Linked DNA regions of Danio rerio. The protein of the gene in region 2 purifies or fractionates together with the protein of the main gene of each other region. This does not show direct contact. Links are inferred from orthologs where the notes say so. Each region holds a gene or a part of one and is shown on either strand. Other genes may lie near its edges.

Region 1 (5,052 bases), on a different chromosome or scaffold from region 2:
TTCGTCTTTTAAACAGCTTAATGATACTCATATTACTTGTTATATGATGGGAAATGGGCGACGTCGTTGTTACTGTAAAAGATGCAGCGACAATTGGAAGTTAACCAAGTTTTCATATTACTTATAAAATACAATTCCTGTGTAATTTTAGCATCTACCTCTACCTCAACCCTAAACCCAACCCTTACTGTAATGTAAAAACGGTATTTGTTGTAGTGTCACAAAAATGATGCTATACTGAAGTGAGTATCCTCATCTGTATCGCATCTAGACTTCACACTCTCCTGCAGCACGGTAAAGTCTAAATAGGATACAGCTGAGGATACTTCTCATTAACTTCTGATTGCAGCTGTATCCCCTCAAGCAAAAACCACAGGAGAGATCCGAGCTGCTGGATTTAAGTCATGTTTATCCATAATTTTCTTCTGAAATTCATGAAGGTAAGCAACTGTTTATCTGGGAATAGAGAAAATATTCTAGTAACATAAACAGTGTGTATCTTACTTGAAAAAAGCACAGTTATATTGAAAAATAATTATTATTGCCATCTTCATAGACATCAGCATATATTTTACAAATAGTAAATGGTAAGTTTTGCTTGTAGTCATGTGTATTTGAATGTCTGACAGCACGAAAAAATTGTTATCTGACAAGTGCTGCGCACCTCTTGCTGTGCCTCAGCATGCGCCGTCAGATTAGAATTTTAGCAGTTGATGACGAGCGCTCTGAACATTCTAATCACACCAGTGTGATCATATGCTTCAGGGACCAGTCAAGGCTGATCACACCAGTGTGACCATACGCTTCAGGGACCAGTCAAGGCTGATCACGCCGGTGTGATCGTACGATTTAGGGACCAGTCAAGGCTGATCACACCAGTGTGATCATATGCTTCAGGGACCAGTCAAGGCTGATCACACCAGTGTGATCATACGCTTCAGGGACCAGTCAAGGCTGATCACACCGGTGTGATCGTACGGTTCAGGGACCAGTCAAGGCTGATCACACCAGTGTGATCATGCGCTTCAGGGACCAGTCAAGGCTGATCACACCGGTGTGATCGTACGGTTCAGGGACCAGTCAAGGCTGATCACACCGGTGTGATCGTACGGTTCAGGGACCAGTCAAGGCTGATCACACCAGTGTGATCATGCGCTTCAGGGACCAGTCAAGGCTGATCATGCTGGTGTGATCGTACGGTTCAGGGACCAGTCAAAGCTGATCACACCAGTGTGATCGTACACTTCAAAAACCAGCCAAGGGCGATCATACATATGAAACGGTTAAAGTGCTCTAGTGTCTGTGTAACTGTGTTTGCACTCGGTAAACCGCAGTGAACTGATGACCATCACAGCCAATGACAATCATTTCTGTTGAGCAAGTGAACACAATGGCCTATAAGCGGTGTTTAAGAACAGGCTCAACAGCACTTACATGATAGCAGGAAATGGACGTTTTTAAAATTTATCAAATTCAATACTTTTGACAACACTAGCTTGTGTGTGTGCGTTACCGTCAGTCTCTTGTGGCGGCTGTATGAGCTCCAGGGCTGCGGTTCGAGGATCAGCACTCCTCCAGGTAACAGGTGTCTGTAGATCCGCCCAAACAGCCTCTGAATTCCAGCGTCGCCGTAGTTCAGGTGAACCCACTTGGTCAAACTCAGACACAGAATGACATCATACTCCGCGCTCTGTGACACCACTGCCGCATCACTGTCCGGCACATAATCGCCCTGCAGGACATCCCACAAACACACACACACGTTTATAATGGACTGCACAATATTGGAAACGTCTGACATTACGATATTTTGTTTTATATATTGCAATATGAATATAATTACACCAGATGATTTTAGTAGCTCTTTTTAGAAGGATTTCATTTATTTATACTGGTATGAGTCTTCTTCTGTGCAGTGCATTTGCATATATATTATAATAACTATGGCAGCACGGTGGCTCAGTGGTTAGCACTGTGGCCTACCAGCAAGAAGGTCTCTGGTTCGAGCCTCGGCTAGCTCAGTTGATATTTCTGTGTGGAGTTCGCATGTTCTCCCCGTGTTAGAATGGGTTTCCTTTAGGAGCTCCGGTTTCCCCCACAAGTCCAAACACATGCGCTATAGGGGAACTGATGAACTAAATTGGAAATAGTGTATGTGAGTGTGTGTGAATGAGGGTGTATAGGTGTTTTCCAGTAATGGGTTGCAGCTGGAAGGGCATCAGCTGTGTAAAACATGATGGAATAGTTGACGGGTCATTCTGCTGTGGTGACTGCTGATAAATAAGGGACTAAGTCAAAAGAAAACGAATGAATTAGTTATAATAAATTACAAGTATATAAACATGGCATTCGTGGTTTTCTTGGGAGTCTAACACAAGTCTAGCACAGAAATTAAACAATCCAACCTAAAATAACAGGGTCATAATTGTATAAAGGAATTTTTAAAGATAAAAACTTTGTGTTTTAATCTTTAATAAATAATGTAATCCTGTGATGTGACTATTGCGCATATGCACGATCGATGCTCAAACAGATATATTGTTCAGCCATGGCCCCCATGAATCTCTGTGCATTCGGGTTTAAAGGGAAACTCAGTTCAACCCAAAATTAAAATTCTGTCATCTTTTCCTCATCCTCCACTTATTCCAAACCTGTTTGTGTTTCTTTCTTCTGTTGAACACACATGAAGATACACTGAAGAATGCTGCGAAAAAAGAACAGCTATTGACTTGTACAGTTTTTTTTGTTCCTTCTATGGATGTCAATGGCTCCTTTTCCCCCCCATCGTTCTTCACAATACCTTTATTTGAGTTCAACAGATGAAAATCAAACTGGTTTAGAAGAAAGAAATGTGCGTTATAAAAAAATAGTAATAAAATAGTGTGAGTAAATGAGGAAATTTGCTGTTTTGGGTGGTGTCCCTTTAAGTCCCCACCAGGATATAAAAACATGAAAAAACACACACTCACAGGGGCATGTCAAAACCTGACACTAAAGGAAGGTGTGGCTGAACACACACACACACACACACAACTCTGTCTGCATGACTAGAAATACTCAAGATAGGAAGCCTTGTTTTGCAGGGAGCATGAACAGTATAAATAATGGATACCAGAGGGTCCAAAATACATGAAAACATGAATAAATTAATATTAATAATAATTAAAAATATATAAATAAAGAAAAATAAATATGAATAAAAATAAATAAAATTATATATATATTTTATATAATTGTAAAAATAAAATATATTATAAAAATAAAAAAAAAATAACATTTAAATAAATATAAATTTTTATATTTATAAATTATTAAAAATGTTAAATGTTATTTTTTATTTATTTTTAATTGAAAGAAAGAAAGAAAGAAAGAAAGAAAGTGTTAGCATGAATCTGAAACAGGCTTAAAGTCTGCTTAAAGCGGATGTTTCACTTCCTACAAACTTCAGTGTTGTGACTTCTCTGGCTACTGAAGTGTACTATTCAGAAAGGGCGGGGTTTACATTGGAGGGGCGTAGCTATGAATGTTCTGGCCAATCAGTCAGACTGACATCAAAAGAAGGTGGAGATTCCAGAGCGGAAGCACATCCTCAGATTCTGATCAAAGATGAACGACTCTAACAGTCCAGTTGAATGTCCTGACATATTTAATTTCATTTAATTTCTGTAATTATTTTAATTTGAACAAACTATTTGATGGTTTTAGCTTTAGTTTTAATAAACATTTATCACTAGTTTATGGTAAGTGAGATTTAAACACACAGACTGAGAAATGCTGCTTATTCAAATGCAAATTTTCAATCCAAAAATTCAAAGAACAAACGGATTTTTCATTTTTTATAAAGCTACACAGAAATATTTTATATTTAATATAAATTTATAAAAAAACTTAAATATTAAATAAGTTAATAACATAAAATGTCCTATTATTTTAGAGGTGATTGTGGTAATTGGCTGGCTGGCGGCGTGGCATCACGTGACGCTGCTTCCAGGCCTTCATTAAACTGTATGGGGAGACTCAACACATTGTAATAATAAACGTTGCCCAATATCAGATGTCCAGAAAGAGATTCATTTTTAAAAAATTGTTAAAATATTGGTGTCTGTGATGCAGCATGTCAAGAGACTGTTGTGTACACCACAATTTAATATAAAATTCACTTTAATGTGTGATATGACTAAAATGGTCAGGAACAAATCTTTTCTCTAAGAAATAATTGCAATTATGCAATTAACTGTCCAATTGTCCGCACTGACGCTTAATAGTCTGTTTTCGAGTCCATCCAGAAATGTAATATGTGGCCAAATAATAATAATATAGGGCATGTAAAAAAATTCTAGGAAATATTTTGATCTTATGTGCATAAGTACATTTCTAATAATTGCAAATGAATTTGTAAACTGATATTTTTCCAATATTTTGTAAAAAAAGAGGTGTATATGTTATTTTATATATGTTCATGATATAGACAGATGGGTTGATGGGTTGATGGATGCAGATAGAAATATAGATAAATAGACAGACAGATAGAACTATGATAGATAGACGGATGGATGGATGGATGGGCAGACAAGACGGACGGACGGACGGACAGATATGGATGGATGGATGGATGGATAGATAGATGAATGGATGAATAGATAGATAGATAGATAGATAGATAGATAGATAGATAGATAGATGAATGGATAAATAGATGAATGGATGAATAGAGAGAGATAGATAGATAGATAGATAGATAGATAGATAGATAGATAGATAGATAGATAGATAGATAGATAGATAGATAGATGAATGGATGAATAGATAGATAGATAGATAGATAGATAGATAGATAGATAGATGAATAGAGTTAGATAGATAGATAGATAGATAGATAGATAGATAGATGAATGGATGAATAGATAGATAGATGAATAGATAGATAGATGAATGGATGAATAGATAGATAGATGAATAGATAGATAGATGAATGGATGGATGGATAGATAGATAAATAGATGAATGGATGAATAGATAGATAGATAGATAGATAGATAGATAGATAGATAG
Region 2 (5,592 bases):
TCACTCACAAAAGCTTCACTACACACAACACCCCAAACGTTTTTTTTTTTTTAATTAATCCTTAGTTGCCACAAATTAGCCTTGGTTTTACTATATTAATCATAAATTACTCATGCTATTTGTAGTAAAAACGTGGTTATACAAATGGTAACTTACCTGTGTCAAAAAACAGTGGAGTAAATGTGATCGATGGTAAGAGTTACAGGTACTGAACTACATCTAAAGAGAAGAGCACAGTGACAGAAAACGGAAATTTTGCAACAAGCACGCGGTACTCGCCGTAAGCCAATCACTCAGTAGCGGAGGAATTAACCACGCCCGGTCAGCAATCGCGTAAGCCAATCAGTGAGCTCAGGGTCAGACGCTCTTCCCTTAACGCCTGTCACTTCATAGATATGTTGCCGTTCTCACAGTCTATGGACAGACGATGTTTTGACTGTTTTTGAATAAGGACCTGGACTTTTGAATAGTGGTTCAGCATTGCTGGTTTACAAAAAAAAATCAAACAAACATAATCCTGTTGCACAACTACACTTGATTTTGGTTTTACAGTAAAAATGATATTGAAAAAAAAAATGTTAAATGAGAATCTAAAATATTTTATGACATTTCAAACAATAAAAACGATTTAATATATAAGAAAGTTTTATTTTGATTGTTTTTAAATAAATTGGCCCTACACCATATGTTCTTATTTTTCATAGTATATGTATTAATTCTGATACTTTTATCATAAACAGACAAATTTGATAGAAGCTGAAATTTTATAAATTATGGGATGCGTTGGGAAAAAATGCATGGAGTGTGTTAACCAGCGACATTAGGAGTTAAGAAATGCAATCCAAACATTTTTTTAGTGGTGTAGTTAAAGGGTTAATCTCGTTGGATTTTAGGCAGTAGCATGAATGCCTACATTTTAATACTATAAATCAAAATGCAAGTAATCAAAATATTCACTTATGACAGATGTATTTTTTCTTTTTACAAGTTTGTTTCGGCTGAAGGGTTTTCTAAATCTAAAAGAGGTTCAATGTTCTGAGAGTGTGTACTAATTATCCTACAACAGCTAATAGCATCTGCTTTGCATCATAATCATGCAACACAGTAAAACAAAATAAATAGCCTGGACATCTAATTTCTTATGGATTTTCTTTCCAGGGTTCCATAAACATACTGTGTAAGATAGTCAAGTTCAAAAACACCTTAAATGGTGTGACACATCTTATTTTTAATTGAAGAGCTCTTTTTTGACACAAAAACTGGAATTGTGATATGGCTCGATGTGAGAACAGTAGAATAGCAGCTATCAGCTTGACAGCAGAGAGGATGGAGAATCCTCATCACAAGAACACAGCAAATGGAGAAAATGCATGCATTACAGCACAACTTTACTTTGTGGTTTTGTGACAATCTATAAAATATAAAAATTCTCAGCCTCAGCACTGCATGCGATAATTAAATGTTCAGTTAATTTCTTAATAATGTGCAGTATGTCAATATGACAATCTTCTGGCATTCATTCATTTATACTGTATTTTATATAAGCATATTGCATTCATATTATATTGCATTTAGCCACAAGCTAAATCCCAATATTCCAGCACGAACAACAACAATGATGGGAAATGTGGAGGATTTATTGGTGTATTTATACTTATACAAGTAACAAACACCATGACCCTGAACACGTGATCTTACAAATAAAAACATCTTTAAAAATAAGCAGCTAAATTAACAATAAAATCTGTCAAGAGAAGTGAAGGGTTTAAATAAATGTCTCCTAGACAAAAGTAGCGTGTCGCTCTTTACAATACAAAATCATCTTCTCAGGAGACTCACATCCAATAACACAATCTGTGCATCAATACACTAAGTACACTTCTTTTCTCTCCCACAATGCACTGGGGCAGCACAATAATACACTCATTTCTCAAAAGTGTTGAAGCTCCATAATAAAGCATCAAAAGTTTCATCAACAGAACTCATCTGATCCACAATCAGTATTTTTTGTAATTACAATAGTGAGTGCAGATGGTAAACTCCAGGATTTCTATGCATCTGCCTGGATTTCCAAGCCAAGATGTGCTGAAATGTATATTTAGTCATTTAAATAAGTCTCTTTCTCCTCGACCAATTACAGATTAATCAGAAGACCCTGTCGAACTCTGATTGGCTGGTGGTGGCTGGGTTTCTGTTCTGATTGGCCGGCTGCTGAGGCATGTGACCTCTTCTGCGGGGCGGGGCTAGATACTCAAACATGGAGGTGTTGTGTGTGGAGAGCATGTTTTTGAGGTCAGAGGGCATGGGGTCGGACCAGAAGAAGTCGTGGTTGAGAGCGTCATCACTGTCAATTCTCTGCGCCGGATCCAGAACCAGCAGTTTGTCTATGAGGTCCAGAGCGTAAGGGTCTTTCACATACGCCTTCAGCCGGTCCTTCACCTTACGCTTCTGCCCTTTAGGAAGCTCCATCTTCTGATACAGTTCATACTTCTTATCCACACCCGGCCAGACCTGAGACAGTGCAGAATGGAGATGTTAAATACAGGCGGATCAATAAACACAAGTGCTGGGTTTACACAGGTTTCACCAAGACAAATTTAAGACTTTAAGACCATTTTAAGACCACAATGAATGAAATTTCAGACAACACAAGGCTAAATGCTAAATATTATTCAAATAGCCAAGTTAAAACCCTTAACATTACAAACAGGTCATTGTGTCGGTGCTAGTAGTGTAGTAGTTAGTGCATCGACACATGGCACTCTGGTGTTCTGGCAACTCGAGTTCAATTCCCGCCTCGCGGTCCTATGCCGATCTTTCCCCTCTCTCTGCTCCCTACACTTTCCTGTCTATACTCTCTACTGTCCTATCAATTAAAAGGTGAAAACCCTGAAATTAAAAAAAAAAAAAAAAAAAACAGGTAATTGTAAGAAAAATAATTAAACCACATTAATAAGTAAATAGAGTTAATAAATAAACGTCTCTTAAAACCATTAAATATATTGGAAAAATATATTGTTAGTGTTTGGATGGATGGATGTTGGCCCAATTGGGTAAAGCTTTACATGGACAGAGGAAAATTCGGACCAGTTTAAAATTAATTTAAGACCTACAACACAATATTTCAGCGGATTAAGGACTTTTTAAGGCTTAAATTTGTTTTTTAAAATTTAAGACATTAAGACTTATACTTAAGATACCCTGTAGTGCTGGGCAAAGATTGTGATTAATTGCATCCAAAATAAAAAACTTTTAAGATAACATGTATGTACTGTATATACTTTTTGTGTAAATATAAACACATAAATATGCATACATATATTAGAGAAATGTTTATTTATATTTAGATATACACTTCATTAAACTGCGTAATAGAATAAAATATCTATGTAACAAATATTGTCTTTATGTATGTGTGTGCATCTCATATGCATAATAAATATACAGACGTTGGACAATGAAACTGAAACGCTGGTCAATTTAAAGTTGGAGGTTTCATGGCTGAATTTGACCAGTGATTGCACATTCCACCAGTAGGAGCAGAGTGTGAAGGTTTAATTAAAAGAATAAAAGCATTTTTTTCTAAAAATATTGCAACGCACACAACATTATGGGTGACAGAGTTCAAAAGAGGACAAATTGGTGTGTGTCTCGCTGGCGCATCTGTCACTGTCAAGGACAACCGAACCATTCTGGAGGACTATGTGCACCCAATGGTACAATCAGTATATTCTGAAGGGAGTGAAATTTTCGGTGAAATTTTCCCAGTACTGGGTTGCGGCTGGAAGGGCGTTCGCTGCATTAAACACATGCCAGAGTAGTTGGCATGATAAATCAGGGACTAAGCTAAAGGAAAATTAATGAATTTAGGTGAATTATACACAAAAATCCTGAAAATAAAAAGCTGACAAAGCATCTGAAAAGTATGTTTTCGGTTGGCAATTGCGTGAGCTGATCCTCCAACATTACTGGAGTAAAGTGTGTACCTCAGGAGTGATGGATCCGCACAGCTGACTGATGAGTGTGAGCTGGTGCTGCTCTGTGTTGCCCTGCATGATGGGGCTTCTGGTCCACATCTCCGCCATGATGCACCCCGCGCCCCACAGGTCTATGGGAGGCCCGTAGTCTCTCTCGCCTACAAAAATACAGAATAAATAAATAAATCCATACTGTGATGATCCCAAGTCCCCAGACCTCATTAAAGAATGTAGTAGATCCTGATTGGATGACTGCATTACTAATCTATAATTGCTTTAATGTGTATATAAGAGTTGTTGTGCTAGCTAGGGCAGGTCACTGTGTGGTTAATCAGAAGTCGAATCTGGTTGACTCTTAACATTTTGGGTTTGTTTTGCATTATTTATATCATTGTTTTTGTATTAGTTTTGATTATAATAAATAATTTGCACTATTTTGTTGCTTGATCTTTCATGTTGCGACTCCAATGAGCCGGTCGTAACAATATCAACACAAAGCGAAAATGAAAAGTAACAAGTGTTTGATGTGGTTTCACCCACCCAGCAGTAGTTCAGGCGGTCTATACCACAGAGTGACCACCCGATTTGTGTAGCGATTCCCCTGACTGTTTTTAGCCAAACTGAAGGCTCGGGCCAGACCGAAATCAGCCAGCTTCAGGACACCATCTCTGGTGATCAGGACATTGGCTGCTTTCATGTCTCTGTGGAGGATCTGAAACAAAACACATAATACACTTGAGTCTGGAAACACTGAAGTCACTTTGGATAAAAGTGCCTTGTAAAAGCATGTAAAGACCGGGACACACCAAGCTGACGCCAAACTCCAACACCCAACAAAACCTATTATTATCGTGCTGGATCCCATCTAGAGCAAAAGCTGCGCATGACCAGACCAAACTGACAAAAGACGACAGAAACGAGCCACATTCTGCATCTGTGCAAGGACATGTCATTCCCCACCAGCAGGGGGCAGTATCTGTTTTCTCCTTCCACAAAGGGAAACCAAACTTCGAATGAGCATCAATTGTAAACAAAGCAGCGTTCAGCGCCCATAATCACAGTAATAGTCACTCACCACGGTGGGATTTGCTTGTGCAAATATGTCTAATTAATAATCCATATAGCTTGCAAATACTTGGGAAATATAGTGAAATTAGAGCTGTGTGTAACGGAGGCCAGCCAGTAAGTGCTGTGCAGGTAAACCTCACTCCTCTGACCTCTAAAGGTCCTCTAGCGACAGACGCTAGAGGTCATGGTCTTTAATCTCTCGGTAGAGCACTTGACTCCCATGCGGAAAGTCGCCTATTCAATCCCAGCTCGGAGCGGGTTAGGTGGTGTAGGACTGGCAGGGTTACATAGGTGTCGTGACCCGGATGAGAGTGAGGTTTAGGGGGCTGAGTGTAACGGAGGCCAGCTAGTAAGTGCTGTGCAGGTAAACATTACTATTAGCGATGGACACTAGAAGCCATGGTCTTTAGCCTCCTTGGTAGAGCACCCGACTCCCATGCGGAAGGTCGCCGGATCGATACCAGCTCGGGGCGGGTTGGGTGGTGTAGGACCGGCGGAATTACACATGCTCTTTGTGACCCTTCTTGGCATGACTTCTTTACTTGCT
Region 3 (4,971 bases), on a different chromosome or scaffold from region 2:
ACACTAACACACACACAAACATGGAAACCAAGACTGAAACTATAGAGATGACCACAATAACTAACGGAAAACATGACTGTAACTATATAGACAACTATACAAAAACACATGAACACAGAAACTATAACTGTAACTATATAGACAACTACAATAACAAAAAACATGACTTTAACTATAATAGACAACTACGCGAACACACAGATGAACTCTGAAAGCATGACTGTAACTATATAGACAACTACAATAACAAAAAACATGACTTTAACTATAATAGACAACTACACGAACACACAGATGAACTCTGAAAGCATGACTGAAACTATATAGACAACTACAAGTAATGAAAACCATCACCGTAACTATATAGATACTGATTCTATAGAAACTGATTCTGACAACTAAATCCATCAATGTTACTATATAGACAACTACAATAAGTAACAAATCAGCGTTACTATGACTGTAACTATATAGACAACTATAACAAATAACAAAAACCATGACTGTAACTATATAGACAAACTACAATAACAGAAATCATGACTGTAACTATAGACAACTACAAGTAATAAAAACCATCACCGTAACTATATAGAAACTGATTCTATAGAAACTGATTCTGACAACTAAATGTAACTATATAGACAACTACAATAAGTAATGAAACCATGACTGTAACTGTATAGACAACTATAACAAATAATGAAAACCATCACTGTAACTATATAGACAACTACAATAACTAACAAATCATGACTGTAACTATATAGACAACTACAATAATTAAATCATGGCTGCACCTATATAGACAACTACAATAACAGAAAACATGACTGTCATTATAAAGATAACTACAATAACTAACAAATCATGGCTAACTATATAGACAACTATAATAAGTAACAAAAACCATCACTGTCAATATATAGACACTGATTCTATAGAAACTGATTCTAATAACTACAACCATCACTGTAACTATATAGACATCTACAATAACTAACAAATCATGACTGTAACTATATAGACAACTACAATAACAGAAAACATGACTGTCATTATAAAGATAACTACAATAACTAACAAATCATGGCTAACTATATAGGCAACTATAATAAGTAACAAAAACCATCACTGTCAATATATAGACACTGATTCTATAGAAACTGATTCTAATAACTACAACCATCACTGTAACTATATAGACATCTACAATAACTAACAAATCATGACTGTAACTATATAGACAACTACAATAACAGAAAGCATGACTGTAACTATATAGACAACTACACAAACACACGCACGAACATGAAAACCAAGACTGAAACTATAGAGATGACCACAATAACTAACGGAAAACATGACTGTAACTATATAGACAACTACAATAACAAAAAACATGACTGTAACTATAATAGACAACTATACGAACACACAGATGAACTCTGAAAGCATGACTGAAACTATATAGACAACTACAAGTAATGAAAACCATCACCGTAACTATAGATACTGATTCTATAGAAACTGATTCTGACAACTAAATCCATCAATGTTACTATATAGACAACTACAATAACAGAAATCGTGACTGTAACTATATAGACAACTACATTAATGAAGACCATGACTGTAACTGTATAGACAACTATAATAACAGAAATCATGATTGTAACTGTATAGACAACTACAATAATTAACAAATCATGACTGCACCTATATAGACAACTACAATAACAGAAATCATGACTGTCATTATAAAGATAACTACAATAATTAACAAATAACGATTAACTATATAGACAACTATAACATAACGAACCATGACTGTTACTATATAGACAACTACAATAACAGAAATCATGACTGTAACTACATTTGCAACTACAGTAACTAACAGACACCATGAGTTTAACAACCAACAGAAACCATGACAGTAACTAAGTAGACAATTACAGCAACTAACGAAAATTGTGACCAACTATAACAACTAACAAAAACACAACTGTTGCTATAGACAACTACAATAAGTAACGAAAACCGTGACTGTAACTACACAGGCAACAACTAACAAAAACTATGGCAGAAGCTAGCTATATAGACAACTATAATAACGAAACCATGATTGCAACATAATGAAATCTACAACTAATGAAAAGCATGACTGTATAGACAAACTATACAGACAACTATAATGACTAACAGAAACTGGTAGAATGTGTGTTACCCGAGTCCTCCTGCATGTCCTTCTCCAGGTCCAGCTCCTCCTCTTCATCCTCCGGCTCGTGGTTCTCCAGCTGAGCCTTGCGAGCCTCCTGTAACACACACGCACACACCATTCATTAGTCTGTAAATGAGAGCTGTAGATGATCACATGAGCGGTGTGTGTGTGTGTGTGTGTGTGTGTGTACTGACCTGAGCCTCCAGCTCCTTCTCATTCATATCTCTGTGTTTACACACCAGCACTGCGTTTGTGGATGACTGAGCGCCAACCTTCGCCCGCCGCTTGCTCAGACGCACCCTGAACACACACACACAAACAAACACACAAGATTACCATCAGACACGTTCATCAACACACACATGAATCCGTGATATACAGTAAGTGGGTGTGCTGATGGTGGGCGGGGCCATCAGTGTGATTGACAGGTACCTGGTCTCCAGCTCATTATAATAAACTCCATCTGCGTCTCTGAAGATGAAGAAGTAGTTCTCCTCGTATCCTTTACTGGCCTTGTTCTTCACGTTCCAGTTATACTCACGAGCAATCTTATATTCATACCTGCACACACACACACACACACACACACACACACACACACACACACACACACACACACACACACACGTTACAGACAGCCTCACACACGTCATCACAGTGGATTGTCAGTCGTGTGTGTGTGTGTGTGTGTGTGTGTGTGTGTGTGTGTGTGTGTGTGTGTGTGCAGAGTGTGTCCTCGTGAAAACTCAAACACAATCTGAATTCACCTGCTCCTATTAAACATGTATGCAGCTTTATGAAAACACTCTGTGAATCTGAACGTGTGTGTGTGTGTGTGTGTGTGTGTCTTACACTTCCTCAGGCATGTAGTCCAGCTCCTCCTCCACGTCTCTCTTGCGTTTGCGCATCGTGTCTTCATTAGGCAGGAAATACGCCACAAACTGATTCCCTTCCTCATCCATCATACCTCTGAACACACACACACACACACACACACACACACACAGCTCATTACATGTGCGCACACACAAATGCATACAGTACAGTACATGCACATACACAGATAAAGATGCGCTCGCACACACACACATGAAGGTACACAGAACTAACAACATAAAGAGAAACACACACATCATCATCATCATCATCATCATCTCACACACACACACACACACACACACACACACACACACACACACACACACACACACACACACACACACACACCTGATCATGGCCTGTGACATCATGTCCACTCCAGCCGGTGCAGACACATCTTTAGGAGCCGGATCAGAATCAAAGATGACTTGAGCACACGGATTAATCCACATCTGTGAACGACACACACACACACGCGCGCACACACGCAAACACACAGTGAGAGCTCCTTTACTATGCAGCGCTTACACTGATTTACTGACTCAACACACACACTTCTGAGCTGAATTCTAGAAACACGGTGAACTTGTCTACTGACGCATGCACGCACACACACACAAACACACACTCACACACACACCACTGCCGCAGCAGCATCTCACACACACACACACACACACACACAACACGTCATGGAGTCACAGCTAGATTATTGCTCGTCTTTTTGACATGTGTGAGTGAGTGTGAATGGAGTGTGTGTGTGTGTGTGTGTGTGTGTGTGTGTGTGTGTGTGAGCATGTGAGTATGTCTCTGAAAGAATGTGCATGTGAGTACGTTTGTGTGCGGAAGTGATTCGAGTCTTTGATTACGTGAGTGTATGACTGAGTGTGTGTTTGAATGTGAAGGTAAGTGTGTGTGAGAGTATCTGTGTGTATGTTTGCAGTGAGCATGTCTGTGATTAAGTGTTTATGAATGTGTGTGTGTGTGTGTATGTGTGTGTGTAAGACCTTGAAGTCAGGGAAGACGGGCAGCACCTCCACCGGTGTGACTCTGGGTTTGCTGTAATGCTGGGAAATCTGAAAGAATCCAACAGAGAGTGAGCTTAGAAATCAGTGTGTGTGTGTGTGTGTGTGTGTGTGTGTGTGTGTGTGTGAGTGTGTTTGTTCCCTCACTGATTTCTGAGCGTCTTCGAAGGTCTTCTCAATGGCAGCGATCTGACTGTCTCTGTCTTTATAGATCTCCTCCTCTGTGAACTGCTGCTTGACGGACACACCGATCCTACACACACACACACACACACGTTACATGACCCATGATCTGCATGTAATGTCAGAGAGGTCAAAGGTCAGACAGGTGTCACTCACTTGACTTCCACCTTCTCGTTGGAGACGCCGTATCTGTTGAACTCAGTGGAGATGTACTCCGTCTTCCTCATCCACGGCACCACCTTCGCATGCTGCTGTGACCTAAACACACACACACACACACACACACACACACATATTATATACACAAACAGGCACACATTGCACACACACGTACACACATTATATACACCACGACATACACGCACATTAAACATGCAGATGTAGATAACACACAAATGCAGACAAACACATGCAGAGATCAGAAACACACACACACACACACACACACACACACACACACACACACACACGTATTACACATCAATATTTACACACCAAAACACATGCAGATGAAGAGACACGTACTATGCACAAAACACAATACACCTATAACACACATACACACACACGCATTCATGCACACACACAAACAAACAAACATTTATACACACACACACACACACACAAACACACTCAAACATTCATACACACAGAAACAGT
Region 4 (5,052 bases), on a different chromosome or scaffold from region 2:
GCTGTATATGTTGATAAAATTGTAATATTTAATAATATTGTGATAATCAAGATTTGTACATTCATACAGCTCTGGATAACTTAAAACAGCGATTAGACCTTCAGAGTATGGAAGCATATGAGTAGCATAATTTAATTCAAAATGTAATATGCAAAATGGCAATGCAATATGTTAAATGGCAATGTATTTCTGTATTTGAATTTGCATTTTCCAAGACATATGAGCAATGTTTGGTGCAGAATGAAAATGTAAATTAAATTACATTGTTTGCATTTCTCATTTCAAACACTGTTTTAATATGTAAATTGTATCCACATTTTAAAGCTTCATAAGTAGCGAAATTAAATTGAAAATGCTATACACAAACTGAATTTGATGTGAATAAAGTACAAGCAGAAACTGTAGCAAAATGATCATTTGAATGTTATTTGTCCTAAATGCATTTACACTCGCGTCTAGGAAATGCAGGATTACATTTTCAGCATAACAGCATGGGATGTGTGTAGCAAAATTAATTTTGAAATGTAATACGCAAAACGATAATGCAATATGTAAATGGCAGTGTATTTCTGTATTTCAGTTAGCATTTTCCAAGACATATGTGCAATGTTTGCTGCAGAATGAAAATGAAAATGAAAAAAACATAATGCATTTTCATTTAACACATCGCGACGAATGAAAGTCGATTTGAAATTGAAAATGCATTCTGGCCTGGCCACGCCCACAGACGGCCGCCGTTGCTGCAAGACGAGTTTTAGGTTATGTCGTCACAGCTGCAGCGAGGACTATTTGGGACATTTGGCAGCATAAACATGGTGAAGTCTGTTCCTCAGCGGCTTCGTGAAGCTGCACGAGCCCTCAAGCGTGAACTGGGAAATACTTTAGAAAACCAATCACCTCCTAGCTCAGTAAACTTGGCTTAAGGTTTGATATTCACGCACGCAGTTTTAGGGATCATCTGCAAATTCTCTAATGAAAATAAGTAAACAAAAAAAAGCGTTATACAGATAAAATTGAATTGAATATTCTGATATTGTATTTATCTCTGCACCTTTAGAAAGAACCAATTTGTATGATTTGAGTCTTGCACGTTGTTTAGGTGTAAATATGTACACTTGGTATTTCACAAATTACACTCATTTTTTTTTCATCTCTATATATAGAGGAGAGCTTGAAAAGCTGCGTAGTGTGATCGACAAAGCAAAACAATCCAAGATTGATTCGGCGAGACCGCAGATCCTGGCCGCTGAGGAGAACTTGCACAGCATGATTGTGGATCTGGACAAAGTTGTAACCAAGGTAAGTATTGTAAACATCACAACATAAATGTGCTCTGAAGAAACCCCCTGTACATATTAATGAGATTTGTGCCTGTAATCTATTTAGCTTTATGCTCTCAGTGACTATTAGTGCATCCCATCTGGATGTGTAACTCAATCCTAGGTGTTGTCTGTCTCCTGCGCAGGTGCAGACGGCACAGTCCGAGGCCAAGATCGTGTCTCAGTACAGTGAGCTGGTAAATGAAGCTAAAGCTCAGTTCCAGCAGGAGCTTGCCAACATCACACCTGAGATCCAGGCCAACTGGAAAGGACTATGTAAGATATCACACTCTTTACATGGATTCAAGTTCTCTACATTTTATATTAATAAAAGCTGATGATGGTTTATTAAAGTGATGTAAAGGGGATTCCATGTTTTTCTCAGCGGGAAAGCTGAGCGCAGATGATCTGAACTCTCTGATTGCTCATGCCCACCGGCGCATCGACCAGCTAAACCGAGAGCTGGCAGAGCAGCGCGTGAGGGAGCAGATCCACATTGAAGTGGCTCTAGAGCAGCAGAAGCTGGAAGATCAGAAAGCGCAGGAGAGAGCCGTGATTTCTGCTCTGGAGCACAGCCGAGAGGACATGAGACTCGAGCAGGAGAAAAAGGTCTGGTATTCACTGCTGTACTGTTATGCAAAGTATTAAATCGCTAAATAATGAATATGTTTTTTTAAGAAAGTCATATTTAGAATGATGTGTTAATATTCTCTGTAGCATCAGTAAGGTAGGGTCTGAATGGGTCATAAAATGAATTTTCCAAAATGTTTAGTTTTTTTAAATTTATTTTTGTGCTTAAATGTCTATTTCAGAGTGTCTGCTTGGTCTTAAAGTCTTAAATTTACTAAAATGCTGTGTTGTGGGTCTTAAAGAGCCATGAAACCCCATTGTTTCAGCAGGGTGTTTTCACACCTCTACTTTGGAAAAAGTCAGAAAAGTGGGCGTGTCCAGCTCTGTTTAGGGGGGAGTGTCGGAGGAAGAAAAGAGGAATGGTATGGGAGTGTCTATTTGGGCACGCGCGAGTTTCAGAGTCAAGACACACACACACACACAAACACGGGAGAAAGGGATGGTGTTTACATGGACATCTGTAGTCGAATTATTTGCCAAATTATTAAATGGTGGACTTTAACTGCAGTTTGGCTCTTTCACTCAGGGAATTCATTCATGTCCCTCGCGACAAACGAGATATTTGATTCGAGGAACTGCTCTAAGAGTGTATTTTTCATGCAATGTTTGATACCGCACGGCGAATGAGAGAAAAAAACCCTCCGCATTTCCCGGAAACTTAGATGCACACGGCAGGTAGCGTCAGAAAGCCGCGTGGGTTATTCCGGTCACAAAATGCGGCAAAAATCCTACACGAGGTTAAAGTTTACTTGTGGTGCTAACATGTTTACACTCGATGCTATAAGTAACTTAGTTCGATACGAACAAACTGAATAAACAAAGAGCACTGGTTGCTCACTTACCAAATCTATAGAGACAGGACAATCACCAGCAACTAGAGTCGCGTCTTTTTTAAGAGAAGACTTCAAGCGAATCCGGATCTCAGCGTTTGCAGATGAGAACAGCTCTCAGGTACACAGTGTTCCTCCTTAGACACGCAAGTAATTGTTGCCGAGCGTCGCGTGCACTGTTAATCCACACGTGACTCCAGCTGAGCTCTCACAAAGAGAAAATGAAAACAAATTTTAACTGCAGCAAACTATAAAAGCAACACTTCACGCTTGTTTTGCCAATACAACGTGTCGTCTCTGCCGTCTAAACACTGTGACAGTAATGACACTATGACAGTAATGAATATTAATGAAGTTGCACAATAGAGCGCGCTGATTGGTTTGAACCAAGCCTTACTCATGCATTAATGCATCACACTGTAAGACGTAATAAGACACACTCTGGCACAGACGCCCAGTCTGCACGCTGGAATACAACGCTATTATGTCATGGCCGTGACGCAGCTTCAAAAATTCGTTTCAAACCGGAAATACGAATTTGCTTGAAATAACGCAAAAACAACCAATTTACACTTTTTAGCGAAATATAGGTGTCCTAATAGTGTTTTTAGCAGTGTGGGACACATATACGACTGTCAACAGCTCAAAAAATGTGTTTTGGTGTTTCGTGACCCTTTAAATCTTTCTTAAACAGGTCTTAATTTTCCTTTGTTTATGTATTACTTCCCAATCTGGCCAAAACCCATACAATCACCAACAATCCATCTCAATAAATCTTTAAACTTTTTTAGAAGGTAAACTTTTTAAAAAGGTAGTTTTTAACTTTATTTATCATAATGGTTGAATTATTTCCCTACAATAATATTTGTTTAAAAGTTCTCCGTGTATTTAATGCTGAGGACATTGTCCTGGTCAAATTGTTGTCCATAGATTTAGTTTATTATACTTTTTAAACATTTTGATTTTTATGTAAAAGAAAGTTTATGTTGGGAAAAAAGTGTATGGAGACAAGTAGAGCTTGCTTGTTTTTACACAATATTTAAAATATTTAGCTAAAAAATAAAATCTAAAATATTTTAATTGTTTTTATTAATGTATTATTGTATTATTAAATGTATTAAATTCTAATAATTTTTTTGATAGGTCAAATAATAATCTTTTCCATCTGGGCCATTTTAAAAATTCCTTAGCATTTAGTGCTAGTGTAAAATTTCATTTATAATGAATGAAAAATGTCTTAAAAAGTCTTAAATTTAAATCTGTGAAACCTGCAAAAACTCTGTATTTTTTTTTTACGATTTTTATTAGCAAAATTATTTTTATTTAAAACAAATTCTTTGTCCAAAGATTATATCCACTGCCCAATAAACAGAGCAACTGTCCCTTACGGCTGGTTGGCCTACAGGTGGATGGTCCCACATTGCTCTTTAGGGCTGAACCCAGCAGGGTACCATGGGAAACAGCCAGGCCCTCACATACGAACGCCAACCCTAGCTTCAAAGTGAGGCCCCAGTTGCAACACACTAGGCAATGTCATGTCCCTCGATTTTATTGTACTCATAAGGGGGTTTTGAACCACACTTAAAGCTGATTTATACTTCTGTGTTGAGTGATTGCTGTGACCCACAGCGCATGCCTTGTGTGTAGCTGTGCATCTATGCTTCTGTCTGCTGCTTGTGTTGCTCTGCAACTTTAATCATTTGGTAAATGCAAAACAAAACTTTCCATCTGGAGCTCCTTCACGGGACTTGACACTCTTGGCTCTCACCCACACTCATCAGCGTTACCCAACTGACCAATCACAGAGCTTACGCTACATGTCGTTGCGACGTGTAGTTAATTTTTTTGAGAGGTGTGTGTAAGCGTCAGCTACTGTGAGAAGTATGCGACCGCATGAAGGCTGCACTGGACCATACGTGTGCGCTTGACGCAGAAGTATAAATCAGCCTTTAGACTGACCTGTCACCTAAAGCCGCCTTTCCACATGACATTTGGACACGACTATTATGCCCCCTTGTGGCAGTGGCACAGAATTTTCAGTTTTGTCATGTATCATGGGATAGCTCTCAAGCAGGTCACACACTGGATGCGCCACTCAGCACCGCGACACAGCGTGCACATGACAAAGTATCGCACACCAGATGCGCACATTCACAGGTTATTTAAAATTAAATTATTCAGATGGCACCTTGTGGTGCGGCAGAAATATGAACAGTGTCCTGAGTAGCTGGGCGCCACAGACTGCTCCTGACTGCCGACGGTGTGCGTACACT
Region 5 (5,850 bases), on a different chromosome or scaffold from region 2:
GTCTACGGGTGTAGTAACGAGCAAAAAAAGAAAACAAAGCACAAAGGCAGAACATTTCATAGGTAATATTAAGTTTTTTTCTGTTTTTGTATGTTCTGAACTTTTGTGCTAATCAGGTAACGTTATTGATGATAACAGTCACTTACTGCATTCATCATACGGCAAAGCAGCTCCCACTCGCACTAAACACTCGGCTTATGCTAGTTTTGTTGAATAAAATCAGCAAACAATGCAAAAGAAATATGACAACGAGATGCTGCGCTGCCAGAAACTTGTATTATTGTCAGCTAATGTTAGTGAAAGAGTCGTTCGGGGGATTCATTCACAAACGAATCGCTCCCTCCGTCAGTATGAGAAGTGAAAGCAGGAGAGGAGCTGTGTTTCAGGACATGATTAGATTAAATTTAACAGGGAGGGTGGATATTACATTTCTGTACACACAAATACAAGCTTTTTGTCAGGAATGCCCGTGCGGTCACTGAGACATCAATGTAGAAAAGTGATGTAAAATTATAATTTTCGCAATTAGAAAAAAAATTACATACTAACATTCAGGAAACTCCCGATCATAGATATTTGGTATATGTGTATATCTCTGGCTTTGGATGGCCACAGTCCTCCACTGTACCTTGGTCGCGCATTCATTTCAAAGGAGCGCTACCCTGTAGCAAGATGGCGGCGCCATTGACGCATTCCTTTCAATTGACAACAATAGGCCAGGCGACATCCAGTGTACATATCTATGAGTGTGCATAAGTATTACCAGAGTTGTCATATTTGGGTGAATTAAACTGTTGTTTTGGAGTCAGTCGGCAGCCAGCACCTAAGCTTTTTACTCATCATAGCACACGTGCTGCTGCTGATGTGACAATAAAAGTGATTTGATTTGAACTAATCCTTTCAGGCTTTACAGAGCACACATTTATGCATTGTACTGAGACAATGCTGACTGATGAACACAACAGTCAATGAGTGAATTCAGAATAATTAGCTTTACGATATTTGATTAAGTACATCTACAGTCTTTTTCAATACTCTGTGGTGTGAAATAAACATCTACAAATGAGCCATTATCTTTAAAGAAAGAAGTTGTCTGTCAAGCTGAAAAGCAGGTCTTCAGAACATGTTAATAGTTTTAAATGGAATCTGACATTTGGCAGGGCTCGTAAAGTCCCTTGTGGCCATTTTGCTCAGATAATAGTAACTGTCTTCTTTGCATATGTCTTATTGCTCAAGGCTAACACAGGGTGTAAGAGTCTAACACATCAGTATTCTAAGGCTATACGCACACAGCTCGGCAGCCCTGTGAATTAACACACAATCTGTCTTCAACCAGTGAAATATCCTGGAAAGCTAATACAGATGAATGGGAAAGAGATATTAGCTGAGGAAGTGATATTAACACATCTCTAATCTGTTTTATAGCCATATCTAAACTGTTTTATAGCCATATCAATGCTTTCCCCCCAAGTTTAAATGAAATACAAGCTCTCATGAGGCTGTCAATGCTGTCACCAAGACAAGATTTTGTATAATAGATTCTGTAAGGTGCAATTATGTAGCATAGATTTTAGGATTCTGGATTGGTAATAAACACAGGGAAAAGAGGCTTTAGAGGGGTTTTGGCCATTTGCAGGCTGGTTTCCAGTCATTTCGAGCCTGGTCTTTGCTGGTCAGGCTGGAAAATGACCAGTTAAATTCAGCTAATACCAGCCTGACCAGCCTGGTTTAAACTGGACATAGCTGGTTTTGGCTGGACTCCCAGTCTGGCTAGACTGGTCAAGCTGGTTTTAGCTGGTCATTTCCCAACCTGACCAGCTAAAACCAGGCTGGAAATAGCTAGAAGCCAGCCTGGAAATGGGCAAAACCCCTCTAAACCAGGCTGGTCGACCAGCTAAAACCAGTCAACCAGCCTAGGCTGGTTTAAGCTGGATTTTTCTACAGGGGAGGCACAATTATCTAAAGAATAGGCACTAGTATCTAATAAATAAGCACTATCTAATACAGTTGAAGGAAAAGATACTAGTATCTAAAAATAATCACTAGTAACATAATAATATACTACTAGTATGCGTTATAGCTTAAATGTTAAAACGGCTTGCCATAAGTGGTATTTCCACATGATATGTGCTGTCAGAAGATTGTAGGCTAATGTATAGTCTATACTTTATAGTTTAGATAGGTATATATAGAATGTATAGATATATTCGATACATATAAAGCCTATAAAACGCTAAACTGTATATTATCCTCTTTATACAGTTTTGACAGCGCTTAATCCCTTAATTCTCTAAACATCGCGAGAAGTTATGAGACAGTAGAGTGACGTCAGAACGCACAGAATCCAAGATGTCGCTTACGAGGTAAGACGCAGAGAAGCTGTTTTTAAGGTTTTATGCTTCAATTTATGTGTTGAAACTCAATTTAAAAGCGTACATGTGTTTTTCATGTATGTACATTTACAGTTTGTGAAAACTCTGTGTTAGTTATTACCCAAGTTGTGTTATGTGAGACGATGAGGCCTGCTGTGTTGTGGTCTTTGTATAATAGTGAATGCTAAGCTAAAGCTACAGCCACAGCAAAAGCAAATAATAACATATTTAAAAGATAAATGGACTTTGAATATCTCATTATTATGTTTTTATTCATTATAATTGCTTATATAAAAGCTATTTATAACTTTAAAAATATATATTTATTCCTGGATGTAATGTGTAACGTTAGGCTAACGTTATTTATCATCGTCGTAGCAATTTTATTTATCAGTGTACATATGCACTATTCCAACACACTCATAGCTCTGCTCACCCCCAAGAGACGGCTGTGTTTGTGGCTCTTAATGCTTAACGTTAGGTAGCATTAACTTTTTTTTTTGACGTAATGTTACAATTGAGGCCATTCGAATAACGTTAGTCTATTAATGCAATAATATTTTCACGTGAGATCGAGCCACTGTTTCAACATCAATCACCCACGTTCCAATGAATATAGGTTGAATTTTGCATCTACATTGCAGTAAAGTTGGTTTTATATACGCACATTCTGTTTAGTGTCAACTTATGACATGCTCCCTATATTGTTTATCATGATACTTTGAATATTCAGTCTTTAATCATATACAAGTATGACTCGAAAGCAACATTAGCACAATTTATTTTGATTGTGCAATGGTATACCTTGATAGTCGGTGATTGCTTGGCTTATATGGTTTCTTATGTAGAGTTTGCAAAGAATACTTTTCTTAAATTGTATTATTAAGGAGAAAGTCTGAATGTGTGAATATAAAACAAACCTTACCTCAATTGTTAGCTGATGGTTTAATAATATGTCATCCTGGCTAGGGCTGGGCCATTAGACAAAAATCAAACTTCATCATAAGTCATCATTTTCTTTACTTTATTCATAACGTCATGATGAATGTATAAATATAAACTAAAAATTGCCCAGTGGTTTAGTGTACAGTGCTCATGGTGTCCCGAGTTCGAGGCTTGTGGACCTTTCCTGAACTTCTCTCTCACTTATCTTCCTGTCATTCTGATTTACTGTTTAATAAAGGCAAAACATTTCAAAAATACATCTCAAATAATAAAATTGAAATATTTTTAGATGTTTTTTTTTTAAGATTGCAACTTTCACACAGTGCTGTTATTCATGTTTTTGTCCACATCCTCATAATGTAGTGTAATATTAAAATAAAATAAAAACATAAAATCATTAAAATTCTGAAAAAGTATTACTGTTAATAATGTATTTTGTGACACCACATAGGATAGACTTTTAAAAGAAATTATTAGATTGCACATCTCTTAATCTGACTTGGCTCTTTTCCCCATTCTCTTTTAGTTTTCTTCCTGCGCCCACCCAACTGTCCCAGGACCAGCTGGAGGCAGAGGAGAGGTCTCAGGCATACAGATCCCAGTCCACTGCTTTGGTCTCCACCCGCAGAGACCCTCCTCCTTACGGCTTCAGAAAGTCATGGGTACCCCGGGCTCTAGAGGTACTAACAATTAAACATTACGTGCTGATAGCTGTCATATATCCTGCTGCATTATGGGCTTGTTCCAATACCCGCATTTGTAAATAGTCAAGTGATAAGACCACATGACATATCCAGTGTATTTAGAAAGTGTGGTTGCAAGTGGGCCTGATCAGGGCTGCACGATTAATCGAAAAAAAGATCATGATCTCGATTTGACCCTACACACGATCTTAATTCAGCTTTTCTACGATTCAGCCAATTCAAGGTCAGGACAGAAGCGTAAAGGCAGTCGCACAAGCCTTCACAGCAATATTGACACCTTCAAATGGTGTTAAAAGTGTCACATACTATATTTATAAGGTATAATTCTCCCAGAAATGTCATTACTGTCGAAATGTAATGATGTAATGACCGCAACCTGTTTGTTTACTACCGAGAACACGCACGTGTACAAAAATGACTCCTCCTTTAGTGAACAGAACCTGCATAGGCTGTGAAAAACATGTAATAAAGTTGTAAATAACGTTCAGTTTGTTGCACAGAACGATCGTTTGAGAGTCGTGCTAAAAGAAAGATTTGCATGTGTGTATTGTTTTCTCAGAGTGACTGCAGGCATTAGCCGCACTCGGAAGTGAAAGTAAAGTCGGCTTGCAAATCATTTATATAATCATAACGCGTTTTACAGTTCTGATTACAACAAACATTTGATATGTTTTTTTTCTTTCATAGTGAACACAGTGTTGTGCATGAAAATGAATGTTTGCTATGTCAGGATAACTACCCTAGCCTATATAATGATAAATATAATGCAAGAAGGAGTCTGATAATGACAAATGTCTCATTTTACCAGTAAAAATGTTCTAATGATGTTGTCAATGACAAATGGCAAGCACTTGTCTCAAACATAATAATTCAACTTTAGAATTATGAATAGTTGTATTCTGATGTCATAATTTTACTGTGAATTAACAAACGGTAATAATAAGTGTTATGATATTTCTTTTGGCTTGTCAATCCGCGGTCTTGACCCCTGATAAATAAGAGACTACACTGAAGGAAAATAAATAAATAAATAAATAAATGAATGAATGATATTTCTTTTAAAGGACTTTGGAGATGGAGGAGCTTTTCCAGAGATCCATGTTGCCCAGTATCCTCTGGAAATGGGTAGGAAGAAAAGGACGTCCAATGCTCTGGCAGTGCAGGTGGATGCAGAGGGCAAGATCAAATATGATGCTATTGCTAGACAAGGCCAAAGCAAAGACAAGGTACCTGATCCTCTTGTGTTATTTCATATTTTATTCATATATTCAGTGGCTCTTACCTAAGGATATGATTTGTTTTCATAATTTTTTTGTTTTTTTGAATAGGTCATATTTAGTAAATACACAGACATGCTTCCTAAGGAAGTGCTAAACCAAGATGATCCAGAGCTGCAGAAACCAGATGAAGAGGCAGTGAGAGAGGTAAGATTACAATTCAGTAGCAGTTTCTGATAGATTTCACAATTTTGTTTCAGTTTCACAATCATGCTTAAGACTGCTATAATGTACCCTTTTGTTTAAAAATTAAATACTATAATTAAATATTTACACAATTAATGCATGTCATTTTGAAATTATGTAAATGTTAACATTTTTCTTAAGTTACTGAAGTGAACTTTGAATAATAAGAAAGCTTAACAATTTTCTATCAGTGTTGTTTGATTTAATTAACATTAGGTTTGTTAGTCTTCATTTACACACTAGTGTCTAATATCAGGGTGTCTGCAGGGTTTTAAAAGTCTTAATGCTTTTAAAAGCAGAAATTTAGCCCTTAAAAGTCTTAAATTCACTAAAATATAGTGGCATAGGTCATTTCAAACCGGTCTT
Region 6 (5,718 bases), on a different chromosome or scaffold from region 2:
AATGCATTTGCTATTTAAACAGCGTAGTGCAACGCCTCAAAACGACTCTTGCGCCAAGCTGAAACTACCAAAAGACTATTGCGCCGCGCCACACTGCGCCAGGTGTATGATAGGGCCCTTAATGTTGACTAATTATCATTGTCGACGTTGAACACAGACAAAATCGCAGGAGCCTTATTAATGAATAACAATTATACACAAATGCATCAAAGTCCTTACAGTCATATGCTACATGATCTTAAGTGATATATAACCAATATGTATTTTAAATACAGAAGATGAAATTAAGTTTGTAAAAGCTCATAATATCATTTTTCCCCACAATTAAAGCTAGCAGATGTTTTTTGTAAAACGTTTTCTTAATTTAGTTCTTTGTGACCCTAAACATAGGTATAAACTCAAAGTATAGACAAAAACATGTTAAATGCAGCAAAACTATTCTAGTAGAACATTTGTCTGCTACTTTGAAGATTTTTAAGAGCCTTATAGCTAAATATATACCTAAATGCTCTTGGTCTGAGATTTATAGATAAGAAAGAGCCAAGTATACCTTTTAATCACATGAATTTATTAAAACAATATTTACCTTTCAATTCGCTTTTTTCCTCTTCAACTTTCCTCATTTTGGATGACATTTCATATTGGTCTTCCCCAGATGATGCCTCAAAACTCTGAGAACGCAATCTTTTCTTCTTGGCTTTCTTGCTTACTGTGCTTGTCAACGTTGCAAGGTTTGGTTCACTGGTAACTGTGCTCTCTAACATTCCGTCTTGATCCATATTATTACTTCCAGTTTCTTCTGAAGTACTGTTTTTAAGCTCCGTCTTCTTTTTCTTCCCATCCTCATCATTGTCTAAAAGTACAAAATGTGCTATTAATAATATACTGATCATTTAGTTATTATGGTAGAAAGACATCAACTGGCCACTGCCCTCTTTTACATTAAAATATTGTCAAATTAATTTAGGCAGTATTTTCAAAATACATAAGGCATATCAATGTTACCCTGTGTGACAGCATCAAAAGGGACAGCCTTTTTCCTACAAGTCTTTGGGAAGATTCCTGGCTTCCTTGGAGCATCTTCTGGAGGATTGTTCAGCATCTGTCATTTTAAATCATAAATAAATAAACAATTAAAAAAATAATAAAATAGAATAAAATAATAATAATAATAATAATAAACCAAAAATATGATAAACATAAAAATAAAAAAATGGGTGTGTATACCCAAAGCTAGCAACTTGGTGTTTGTATTTACATTATCTTTTCTGTATTTAATAACAATGAGCCCTATCATACACCCGGCGCAATGTGGCACAAGGCCTGACGCAATTGTTGTTTGCTAGTTTAAGCTTTGGCACAAGAGTCGTTTTGAAGTTTTCCGCCACGCTGTTTAAATAGCAAATGCATTTGCGCTCATATGTGCGCCCATAGGTGTTCTGGTCTAAAAAGGAAGGCGCGTTGAGGCTCATTGCTGGCACGTTGCTATTTTGAGTAACTATAATAGTCTGTTCTATAGACCAGAACAAAGCCGGTCCATTGTCCAGCTCAGAATGCGTTAGTTGTGCGCCTCACTTACACATTGCTTAATACACACAAGATGTAGAGCAATACGCAAATATCTTTACATATGAAAAAGAATTAAAGTACTAAGGATATATAAATAGGATATATTGAGGATATAAATATAAGATAAAAATATAAAGGATTAAAATATTACAAAACATATTATATTCTAGCCCACATAAATATAAAAACCATACTTCCATGCATGCCTTCTTCATCTCGGGAGGCTTCTTTAGTTCATTCATGACTATTTGCTTTTGTGCAATGTTATTATTATTAGCTGTATTATTTATTATATGTATATTTATATTTGTTTTATTAAAAACAAGCTTAGATTTATCCACCTGTCAAGTTTTAGGCCATATGGGGCATAGCATGTGTATTAGGATATAATTCAGTTGTTTGAACACACTTTGTTAATATTGTTCATTTATTCATTTGCTGGAAATTAGAACTGAATTAAGAAATAGTTTTGAAACAAATCATTGCGTTTAATGAACAAAACTAATTATTTATAGGCTAATTGATGTCTGTGCATACAAGGTTTACGATCCACGAGAGCAAAAGTGAAAGTCGATAATGAGAAGGTCTTATCTCTTATTCTTATGCTGCAGACGCTCTGTTTAACTGTTTTCTTGCTAGTAAAATGCTCAGTTTTTCCTCTTACTTTACGTCATGTAAATAGCAAATGCGCTATGGCGCGATGCAACTGAATATTACAGGGAATGGGAGATGAGACTCTGATTGCTTTATTCTCAAAACACACCATAACTCCTTGAGAAAATAAGCTTAAGACCATGCGCCATGGCGCAAATCGGGTTTTTCCATTCTTATATTAGAAAAAGTGGATTCTGACACGCCCCTAATGCGTTTGCGCCCTGTGCTTTGCACTTTGATCGTCAAAATAGAGCCCAATAAATTATATAAAATATTAAAGTTATCAACAGTTACCTCAACAGCTTTTTGTGCTTGCTCTTGCGTCTCAAACTCCACAAATGCAAATCCTTTAGAATGCCTTGTGGACTTGTACCTGGGGATACTAATATAAACCACATGTCCACATTTGCTAAACACTCGCTCCAGCCAAATGTGAGTGACTGTCTTTGGCAACAGCTCCTAAAACACAATTTCAATTTTAAGAGAATACACATTGAAATGACACATACAGTATGCTAGCATTATTATGTATACTTATTTGTAGTAATTTACCACATAAACTGTGCGACTGTCCACATCTTTTGGGGTTTCACCAAGTGGTTCCTTTCGTCGTATACGAGTTCCCTCATCATTAACCTAAGCACACCACAGCTGTGTTACAGTTGCTAACAAAGTAAGTGGATAATTCTGAAATAAAATTCATTTTATAAAGGACAAGAAATTGTCAAACCAAATCATACCTCTACTATTGTTGAGTTTTTAAGAGCCCTGGCTATCAATTTGACATCTGCAGTTAGGTTTTTCATTCGGTTAAACGTTGTCAGGACGGCAATGTCAATATCTGCAATATATAAAATGTTAAGTGAAATATGTACGAATGATGGGTATCCTGACAGATAATCATACAATTAATAAAGTTACATACATCCATCTCGTGATTGCTCAATGATACTCTTCATGAATCTGTCCTTGTGAAGATTCACATCACCAAACCAAAATTCCACCTGCTTCTTCACATCAGACAGCAGCTGTTTCACCCGGGATCTCTTCTTTTTCTCGTTATCTTTTTTCTCACTCAAGTCTGCACAGGCGGTGTCCCCGACAGAAGACATCTTCTCTGTGTCTATCGTCTTGCTATGGTTGAATCAAAGTCATAAAATTATATATCTGAAATTGAATAACAATTACGTCGAGCTGGGTATCCGTTTCACATTTCTGTCTTAACATTCCCGCTCTCCCAGTTAACTTAAATAATAATCACTTAACATTACCGTTGACACACTTTCATCCAGTTATTACTTTACTAAAATAACACACATCACCAATTTATATGGTCATACTATTATTGTAAGATACTTTTATAGCAGAACACTAATAAACTTAGTTCAAAGCAAATCGTTCGTTTACGAATTTTACCAATGCCGACGACTCATTTTCTTTAATAGCTGCTGCTGCTGCTGCTGCTGCTGCTTCTTCTTCTTCTTCTTCTGGATTCTACCGACAGCTTGCACCTTTTTGTCCAACTACTGCCATCTTTTGTTGTTATATGTCATAGCAGGGATTGCTAAAGGGAATTTGATATATCGCCCTCCGAAGATAAATACAAACCCACAGAGCACAGACGTTTCAGAACCCACAATCCCCATTCCTGAGAACATTCCTATTTTTACTAAGTTGCTTTTTTAATCCTTACCTTGATTATCCTTAGTTTTTACACTTACAAAGTCCACCAATAGCAAATGTGCCATGGTGCGACCAATGACTGTAAGGGTGCAACCAAGCGGCCATAGATATATACACTAGATATCGCATAGGGACCCTGATCATGCGTCAATAGCGCCGCCACATTGGTGCAGTGCTCCTAGGACAAATGTCATTCAACCGCACTTGTCAAGACAGTATTATTACGTGAAGATGCGGGACTTTAGCGCTGTCTACGGGTGTAGTAACGAGCAAACGAAAACAAAGCACAAAGGCAGAAGATTTCATAGGTAAGATTAAGTTTTTACGTTTTTGTATGTTATGAACTTTTGTGCTAAACAGGTAACGTTATTGATGATAATCAATCACTTAACGTTACTGCATTCACCATAAGGCAAAGTAGCTCCAATTCGCACTAAATACTCGGCTTATGCTAGTTTTGTTGAATAAAATCAGCAAACAATGCAAAAGAAATATGACAACGAGATGAGTCGTTCATAAGGGAAATTCATTCACAAACGAATCGCTCCCTCCGTATGAGTAGTAAAAGCAGGAGAGGAGGTGTGTTTCAGGGCACGGATTAGATCAAATTTAACAAGGAGGGTAGATTGTACATTTCCGAATACACAAACACAAGCTTTTTGTCAGGAATGCCAATGCGATCACTGATCCATCAATGTAGAAAAGTGATGTAAAATGATAATTTCGTAATTTAAAAATTAATTTGCATACTAACATCCAGGAAAACTCCCGATCATAGATATATGTGTAGATCTCTGGCTTTGGATGGCCACAGTCCTCCACCACTGTACCTTGGTCCCGCATTTATTTCAAAGGAGCGCTACCCTGTTCCAAAATGGCGGCATTCTTTTCAATAGACAACAACAGGGTAGGCGACATTTAATGTATATATCTATGCCAAGCGGCAACCTCCCGCTTTCCCTCGATATCCCTGGATAAATTTATATTTATTACTTTTTTTATTTATTAATTAATAGTTATTTGATTTTACTGCTAAATTTTGGTTTAAAAACAATATTGCTTACTATAGATTACTACAGTATTTAATGTGGTAAATCATTTATTAAAAAGTTATTAAAAAAATAAGAAAATAAACACTATTAAATCGCTTGAGTAAAATATTAATTTAGTGTTATACATTTGTTACATGTAAAAAGATTTTTATTACATATAAAATGTATTATTGCCGATATTAACTTGCTACTTCCTTCATTAAATGAATCCGTTATATAAATTAAACCTGTCTAATTTAGATCGTTTAGCAAGGCCAGCAAACGAGTATCTGCCATATTATTGTCAGATAATAATGACTGATCATCTATGATGGCTGATAGAAAACTGTTCAGTTTATTATATTGAATGGCGATCGGAAACAACGCTCTCCATTCACCCGTCTTGATTGCAATATTTGTGAAATAAAGTAAACACTATTGTTTATTGTTTACAATATTTATTAACCATACATTTTAAAATTAATCGATGACGATGTTCAAAAAGACATTAATAACATTAGCATCTGTTGTAACCATATATGGTTTGCCTAGATTGTGTGTGCCAGATTGTGTGTGCCATAAGCTATTTTGCAGGTCAGAGTTCACCAAGCTTGAACTTTGCACCGCAGCAACCTGTGAAACTTAAAGCATTACCCTGTGTTTCCAGTCTGACACATTCGCGTGCGTATGAATGGAAGTCTATGGGAGGAAAAGCCCAGTGTGACCGCAACTTGAAGCTGCAGTCACACTGGGCTTTTCCTCCCATAGACATGACCTCACT

The links.
Region 1: the proteins of cdk9 (region 2) and mepceb purify together in Homo sapiens (affinity purification with mass spectrometry; 10 studies listed by BioGRID and IntAct, counting the BioPlex papers as one, with this or other methods). This does not show direct contact. The link is inferred for Danio rerio from reciprocal best matches to the Homo sapiens genes CDK9 and MEPCE.
Region 3: the proteins of cdk9 (region 2) and paf1 purify together in Homo sapiens (affinity purification with western blotting; 3 studies listed by BioGRID and IntAct, with this or other methods). This does not show direct contact. The link is inferred for Danio rerio from reciprocal best matches to the Homo sapiens genes CDK9 and PAF1.
Region 4: the proteins of cdk9 (region 2) and immt purify together in Homo sapiens (affinity purification with mass spectrometry; 3 studies listed by BioGRID, with this or other methods). This does not show direct contact. The link is inferred for Danio rerio from reciprocal best matches to the Homo sapiens genes CDK9 and IMMT.
Region 5: the proteins of cdk9 (region 2) and snw1 purify together in Homo sapiens (affinity purification with mass spectrometry; 4 studies listed by BioGRID and IntAct, with this or other methods). This does not show direct contact. The link is inferred for Danio rerio from reciprocal best matches to the Homo sapiens genes CDK9 and SNW1.
Region 6: the proteins of cdk9 (region 2) and larp7 purify together in Homo sapiens (affinity purification with mass spectrometry; 15 studies listed by BioGRID and IntAct, counting the BioPlex papers as one, with this or other methods). This does not show direct contact. The link is inferred for Danio rerio from reciprocal best matches to the Homo sapiens genes CDK9 and LARP7.

The regions. Positions count from the first base shown.
Region 1 is NC_133198.1:47,989,318-47,994,369, reverse strand, and holds part of mepceb (7SK snRNA methylphosphate capping enzyme-like), read right to left. Parts: intron 1,733-5,052; coding exon 1,514-1,732; exon of another isoform or gene 1,491-1,513; intron 1-1,490. UniProt on the Homo sapiens protein: S-adenosyl-L-methionine-dependent methyltransferase that adds a methylphosphate cap at the 5'-end of 7SK snRNA (7SK RNA), leading to stabilize it.
Region 2 is NC_133196.1:7,407,303-7,412,894, reverse strand, and holds the end of cdk9 (cyclin-dependent kinase 9), read right to left. Parts: intron 4,690-5,592; coding exon 4,518-4,689; intron 4,136-4,517; coding exon 3,987-4,135; intron 2,512-3,986; coding exon 2,146-2,511; 3' UTR 1,617-2,145; downstream 1-1,616. UniProt on the Homo sapiens protein: Protein kinase involved in the regulation of transcription.
Region 3 is NC_133190.1:51,594,597-51,599,567, forward strand, and holds part of paf1 (RNA polymerase II-associated factor 1 homolog), read right to left. Parts: intron 4,570-4,971; coding exon 4,468-4,569; intron 4,382-4,467; coding exon 4,276-4,381; intron 4,180-4,275; coding exon 4,111-4,179; intron 3,556-4,110; coding exon 3,452-3,555; intron 3,194-3,451; coding exon 3,077-3,193; intron 2,786-3,076; coding exon 2,657-2,785; intron 2,525-2,656; coding exon 2,419-2,524; intron 2,319-2,418; coding exon 2,231-2,318; intron 1-2,230. UniProt on the Homo sapiens protein: Component of the PAF1 complex (PAF1C) which has multiple functions during transcription by RNA polymerase II and is implicated in regulation of development and maintenance of embryonic stem cell pluripotency.
Region 4 is NC_133189.1:18,411,053-18,416,104, forward strand, and holds part of immt (MICOS complex subunit MIC60), read left to right. Parts: intron 1-1,163; coding exon 1,164-1,299; intron 1,300-1,465; coding exon 1,466-1,595; intron 1,596-1,704; coding exon 1,705-1,928; intron 1,929-5,052. UniProt on the Homo sapiens protein: Component of the MICOS complex, a large protein complex of the mitochondrial inner membrane that plays crucial roles in the maintenance of crista junctions, inner membrane architecture, and formation of contact sites to the outer membrane.
Region 5 is NC_133195.1:5,548,882-5,554,731, reverse strand, and holds the start of snw1 (SNW domain-containing protein 1), read left to right. Parts: upstream 1-2,337; 5' UTR 2,338-2,349; coding exon 2,350-2,363; intron 2,364-3,843; coding exon 3,844-3,997; intron 3,998-5,085; coding exon 5,086-5,247; intron 5,248-5,349; coding exon 5,350-5,445; intron 5,446-5,850. UniProt on the Homo sapiens protein: Involved in pre-mRNA splicing as component of the spliceosome. As a component of the minor spliceosome, involved in the splicing of U12-type introns in pre-mRNAs.
Region 6 is NC_133182.1:62,360,064-62,365,781, forward strand, and holds the start of larp7 (la-related protein 7), read right to left. Parts: upstream 3,713-5,718; 5' UTR 3,657-3,712; coding exon 3,640-3,656; intron 3,636-3,639; exon of another isoform or gene 3,512-3,635; coding exon of another isoform or gene 3,495-3,511; intron 3,358-3,494; coding exon 3,149-3,357; intron 3,065-3,148; coding exon 2,964-3,064; intron 2,860-2,963; coding exon 2,776-2,859; intron 2,683-2,775; coding exon 2,518-2,682; intron 1,103-2,517; coding exon 1,006-1,102; intron 854-1,005; coding exon 587-853; intron 1-586. UniProt on the Homo sapiens protein: RNA-binding protein that specifically binds distinct small nuclear RNA (snRNAs) and regulates their processing and function.